Linked DNA regions of Drosophila melanogaster. The protein of the gene in region 1 interacts with the protein of each later gene in a pairwise test. Each region holds a gene or a part of one and is shown on either strand. Other genes may lie near its edges.

Region 1 (3,566 bases):
ACTAAAAAGATCCAAATATATAGAGGATATCTTTGTCTTAATAAATTGGATCCGAATAGTATGTACTCAACTACGTGCTTGCAGACCAGGTTAAAATATTTCAAACATTTAACACCCGAGCTTAATAGAAATCTAGATAAATATCTCGTCACAACTTTCTGATCAAAGGTCAGAAGGTAGCTAACTTAAAGTAAAGTAGCTGATAGATCGCAACAATGTAAAAATCAAGCAAATAACTGTGAAATCGTTCCTATTCAAGGTCACGTACAGCAACAACCTGGTGGCCAAGGATGGAGTGGAGCTAACGCCCACCCAGGTTAAGGATCAGCCAGTCGTGGAGTGGGACGCGCAGCCCGGGGAGTTCTACACGCTCATTATGACGGATCCCGATGCCCCCAGCCGAGCGGAGCCCAAGTTCCGCGAGTTCAAGCACTGGATTCTGGCCAACATCGCCGGCAACGACTTGGCAAGTGGTGAGCCCATCGCCGAGTACATTGGCTCCGGCCCGCCCCAGGGCACGGGTCTGCATCGCTACGTCTTCCTGCTGTACAAGCAGTCCGGCAAACTTGAGTTCGACGAGGAGCGCGTGAGCAAGAGATCCCGCAAGGATCGCCCCAAATTCAGTGCCGCCAAGTTTGCCATCAATCACGAGTTGGGCAATCCCATTGCTGGAACTTTCTACCAAGCCCAGTACGACGACTATGTTCCAAAACTGCACAAGCAACTTTCGGAGAATTGATTCCGTTTTAATCTTAAACAGATACTTTAGGAAAAATCGATTAAAAGATGTTAATCAAAATATAAGAAATTGCGATTACGGATTGTACTTTCGTTATACAAATTTATAATGGGATATGTTACTGGGATGGGATATTTTCCGTCGTAAATTATAGCTCACACTTTTAATTAATGGCACATTTTGGTCCACAGAACTTATTTGGTTGATTTACGGATTTATTAACTGAAGTTGATGGATATTGGTTGCTGTACGCTATCGCTATGGTAGACTACTTGCCGGCCGCCGTGGCCAGGGGATTCCTTAGGACCAGGATGACAGAATCGCCTCGCAGGAACATCTTCGATATGAACCGATCCTTGTTCACGGGCTTCACCTTCTTCTTGCCCTTACCGGTCCGCGGCAGCTCCGTCCACATCTCCTTCACGTTTTCCAGTACCATGTTGCAGTGCCGATCGAAGGCCTTTACCCTGCCCAGCAGCTTCTTGTTGTTGCGGCAGTTGATGAGCACCTGGGTGTTGTTCTTCACGGACTGCGTGAGCACGGACAGCGGGCCGGTGTTAAACTCCTCCTCCTCCTGCCGCGCCAGCTCCTCCGGGGTCAGCTCCGATTTCGGTTTCACAAGAGCCCTGCAGAGAACACAGTACATTAGTATTTCACCCACAACTCGAGCGTGGTGCTAACAATGCAAAATGCCGGCGCACATGCCGCTGCCAGTTACGCCATTTCCGATGGTTTGTCCCATCTGCCCCGGGATACTTACATAGCGGATTATAACTATGGCTTGTTAAATGATGTTGATAGTCTTCTTGTTTCGCTTCTCAGTTGGTTTTCTGCGTTTATTGTTGGCAAAAGTATTCAGCGCGGCTTCGTTTTTTTTGCAGTGTTACCAGCTCTGAGGACGTTTGCACTCGACCAGCCCTGAATTTCAAAGCTAACTATCGGCGTTTGGCATTCGCGTAAATTAAATAAACTATTATTTTGAAAAATCAAGCTCAATTTGAGTTTTTTATTAAAAAACTTATTAAAATATTCAATGTAAGAAGTGTAAACATATTTAAGACCATAGTTAAAACATTTTTGTGAAAAGTTGGTAATAGTGTTATCTAGTGTGCCAGCCTTGGTCACACTGCCTGGCACGAGTTCCGAATTGGGAGGAATTTATTTTGAAAATAAAAGTAACGAATGGAACCTGTGAAAGAGACGATGACCACTGTCAAGGCGGAGAAGCCGGTAACCACCACTTGCTCCTACTGGGTGTTACGCAAAAAGCGCCGCTGCAAGATGACTGCAAACAAGGGCAGTGAGTTTTGTGGAGCCCATGCCTCATCGGCAGCCACCACTGCAACTTGCGATGAAAAAGCTAGAGAAGATTCCTTCCAGGAACGTATTCCCTGCCCGCTTGATCACAAACATACCGTGTTTAAAAGAAAACTAGCCAAACACTTGACCATTTGCAATGCCAGGGATCAGGAAAGTTCACTGCCCTACATTGTAAAAGGAGTGAATTCTGGAGACAATCTTAAGGAAACAGACGAAGATTTGAACAAATTCAATCAAATAAAACTGCACGAACTGGCGGATGAAGAGTTCTACAGTCTGATCGACAAAGTTAAGAATCTGTATGACAAGCACATCAATTCCAGCATACAGGAACTGCAGCTGGAGCACGAATCCCTAAAGGAGGAACTTAGTCGCAAGGACTACGGCCAGGAAACGCTACGCCAGCTCACCCAGACCACTAGCTTGCTGGGCATCCTGGAACACGATCACCAGTTGATGGATCACACGAGCTATATAGAATTCGGAGCCGGAAAGGGACAATTGGCCTACTTTTTGGCCACCGTATTGCAGGAACAGAAGTTGAGTCACTCACAGGTGGTCCTCATCGATCGAATGTCCCTGCGGCACAAGAAGGACAACAAGTTGGCCAACAGGGAGGTGGTGCAACGTATCCGTGCTGATATCGCTGATCTTAAGCTTTCTGCTCTGCCGGAGCTAAAGAAAACCCAACGAACGGTGGCTTTTTCGAAGCACCTCTGTGGAGCAGCTACAGACTTGACCCTGAGATGTATACTCGGTGATGGAAATGCCAGCTCGGACTACGTTCTCATCGCCCTGTGTTGTCATCATCGCTGCTCCTGGCGCTCCTACGTGGGACGCAAGTTTCTTCAGGAAGCTGGAATTGGACCACGGGAGTTCGTTATCCTAACCAAAATGGTCAGTTGGGCAGTTTGTGGCACGGGCTTAAGCCGAGAGCGGCGTAAGGCCATGGAATCGGCTGACTTTCAGCTCACCGAGACGAACACGCAGCGTCTAACTCGCCAGGAGCGCGAACAAATTGGCCAACAGTGCAAGCGGGTTCTGGATTATGGACGACTGGAGCATCTACGATCCCACGGATATCAAGCAGAACTTAAGTTCTATGTTCCCAGGGATGTGACTTTGGAAAACGTGGTTCTGCTGGCCAGACCGACCAGCCCTAAGCTGGACCAAAATAAATGCTGTTGACTTAAGTAAAATGACTTTTCTCCTTCCTTAATTCATATCCTGCTCCTGGATTTAAATTTTTCATTATTTACTAAAAACTAGTGACGATCGCACCATCGCCATAAAAATGTTCTGATGTCATCTTTTGTGACGAAAAATATTTAACTAGGAAAATGCAATGTCATATTTTTATTTCGCTTTATTAAAATATTTATTAGCTAGGAAGACATTTTTATTGAAGCGGTCCGCATAGGTAATTTTTTTTAGTTGTAGAATTAATGTTTTTTATATCGAGCTATTTTGCACAATTTAAATGGTGTCATTACCATAAAATGTTCAT
Region 2 (2,866 bases), on another chromosome or scaffold:
TGACGGACCAGCACTGGGACGGCTTTTTATCCGAAACGCTGAAAAGTGAGATCGCCGGCAAGGAAGATGTGGCTCTGGCCATAGAAGACCTATTTTGGAAAACTGATGAATCAGAAAGGTTTCCGGCATGGCGAGAATTCCTAGGCAAGAGCAAACAAGAACGCCTGTCGCTTCAGAGGGTCAGGGGAACTCCACGCAGCTAAGCATTCGGGAGTTTATGAGCGCCAAAAAGTGCCATGAGGTAAGTAAACCAACCATTTTAAATGAGAGTATTTTAGGAATTGATTAATCTCTCCGATTAGGTGGATCTAACAGCCGTTCTCGTGGACCAGCTTGTGAAGAACTCCGGTCAAGATTGCTTCATTGTAGACGCGGGCGATGGCAAAGGGTATTTATCCTCGCGCTTGGCGCTCCAGTATGGTCACCGCGTGCTCGGCATCGATGCGAACGCGGCAAACACCGAGAACGCATTGAATAGGAATCGCAAATTGCAGGTAGGCCGGGCTTACAAAATAAAGTTAGCTTTATTTCATTACGTTTGTAGACTTAGAAGTAAGGTGTGGGTGTATGTAGGTGAATCCATTGGCTAGTCGCGCATTTCGCCCTCCTCGTCGTCGTCCTCCATGCCCTTGATATACAGCACGTTGTTGCAGCGGATGAGCACCTCGCCAAGATTACCAGTCACGGAGCCCTCGATCACTTCCTCCGTGTTCGCCAGCTGCATGTTCATGTAGCCGTCGACGGAGACCAGGAAGCCCTTGTACTCCTGGCCCCACTTCAGCTTCACCAGCACCGGTTTTCCCGTCAGGCCGTTCAGGAAGGGCTTGGGGTTAATGGGCATACCAGCCGACATTCTGTTTATTTGATTTTTCCTGCCTTTTTTATAAAATATTACAACAAGCGTGCCGAAAATCGCCGGCTTTTCGCGTTTTTTTTGTGTAGTGTGACCACAGCTGCGCTGTGTAAACATACCAGAACAAGAAGAAGAATAGCATAGAAGAAGAGTATTGAAAAACCATTCAAAAGCGCCAAAATTAAAATTTTATTTAATTTCAGCGCGCTTGGAATGGCCTTACGGAACGAGCGGAGCTGCAAGTCCAGGGAATCACGCCCAAGAGACGTGGTAAAAAGTCGCCAGCCAGGGAGAGCACCAAGAGTGCGCCTGCCTTGGAAAACTACAAGACAACGGCAAAGTTTATAACCACCGAACTTAACTTTGGTGCCCTGCTGGCGGAGAATTTCACTCAGTTTAGACCGGAAGACAGTCCAAACATTTGCCTTACTGGATTGCATACCTGTGGCAACCTGGCCGCCACCTGTCTTCAGGTTTTCCACGCCCAAACGGACTGCCGGTTGCTTTGTAATGTTGGCTGCTGCTATCATTTGCTGCGGGAGCGCTATTCGCAGCAGGAGTTCTTTGGCAATAAGTCCCTGATGGAGCTGCAAACAGACTATGGATTCCCATTGAGTCAGTACCTGCGGGAGCGACAAGTGCGAATGGGTCGCAATGCGCGGATGCTGGCGGCCCAGTCAATTGAACGCACCTTGGACACCAAGGAGCTGCCTAATGTAACGCTCTACTATCGAGCTCTCTTGGAGATTCTGGTTTGCCGCCATGCGCCGGAGCTGAAAAACGAACTGCAGGTGGGCAAGGTACGGAAATTCGAGAGTTTCGAGGAGTACATTCAAAAGTGTGCCACCAAATTGGATGCTCCCTGGTTGGCAGCTGTTGAGAAAGAAGAACTTCAATCCCTGCTCCAGGAATATGCCGTGCATAAATACTTCTTGGATCTGTTCTATCTGCTGCGCATGTCCTTTGCTCCGGTGCTGGAGAGTCTAATTCTCCTGGATCGCCTGCTCTACCTCAAGGAACTTGGCTATGAACGCAGCTATCTGATAGATTTATTTGATCCCGTCATTTCGCCCAGGCATTTTGCAATTGTTTCTATAAAGCAGCAAACGCAACAATAATGAAATTCACAAATGCATCAAAAGCTTGACGAGAAAGCCGGTTGTGTTTAATTATTTATAGATTATAGCGTGCAATACTTTTCATATCGTATATGTATTGCGTTAACGCTTTTAAAAATCTAACTAAACCATAGCACACAAAAAGTAAATAAGGTTGTTAAAACTAAGAATCATTATAATAAATGTAATCATGACTTGTAATTATCTTAGAGTCCCTCTGGATTTGCTGTGGTTTGTTTGTCGTATTTTAAAGCTTTTTCCACCACACAGGTGAATTTATAAGTATGCACTTGAAATTGCTATCTCAGAACTTTTGAGACTTTCGAGTATAAAAACGCAAACAACATTTCAAATCGCCCCAAGTGCGGTGCGTAGAGCTTTAATTGTCGGTTGTGTACGCGGGTGCTCAGAATTTATAGATCCAATAAAAGTTTCCTTGAAATTGCTGGACAAACTTGTTGCGAATTAGGCCAGTTGCAAATAAATTGTGTGACTAAAAAAACCTGTATATTTTCAAAGTAAGTTATGAAATTCGGTATACAAAATTGTATATTTTAATTTGAAAAAGTGTGATATCCTTGAAAAAACCACACTTAATATGGAATTGAGGGCAACTGTGAAAATTAAGATTACTTGGTTACTGTTACTGTTACTAAAATAAATAGAGAACTGGTTTCTAAGAAATATATTTTGGACATTTGCTCTATAGAAATAGTAGTCTCATGTATAATTAATAAAGCTTAGGACGAAATCCTTGCTGGCAAATTTTTAGTGTCATATTTGCTGCCCGAAAAGATTTTCTATTTAGCTTTACAAGCAGCTTAATTGGGTGTAGATATGGCGGGAATTACTATAAGCGTATCATAAACACTCATTGTAATGCTCCCTATCATAA

Evidence for each region.
Region 2: the proteins of SmD2 (region 1) and SmF interact in binary tests that used the Drosophila melanogaster proteins (3 or more experiments, as listed by UniProt).

The regions. Positions count from the first base shown.
Region 1 is NT_033777.3:6,344,272-6,347,837, forward strand, and holds SmD2 (small ribonucleoprotein particle protein SmD2), read right to left. Parts: upstream 1,641-3,566; 5' UTR 1,502-1,640; coding exon 1,500-1,501; intron 1,366-1,499; coding exon 1,008-1,365; 3' UTR 740-1,007; downstream 1-739. Other genes in the region: CG17919 (uncharacterized protein), read left to right, coding at 260-739; CG18048 (uncharacterized protein), read left to right, coding at 1,922-3,247.
Region 2 is NT_033778.4:12,183,337-12,186,202, forward strand, and holds SmF (small ribonucleoprotein particle protein SmF), read right to left. Parts: upstream 975-2,866; 5' UTR 854-974; coding exon 587-853; 3' UTR 508-586; downstream 1-507. UniProt on the Drosophila melanogaster protein: Plays a role in pre-mRNA splicing as a core component of the spliceosomal U1, U2, U4 and U5 small nuclear ribonucleoproteins (snRNPs), the building blocks of the spliceosome.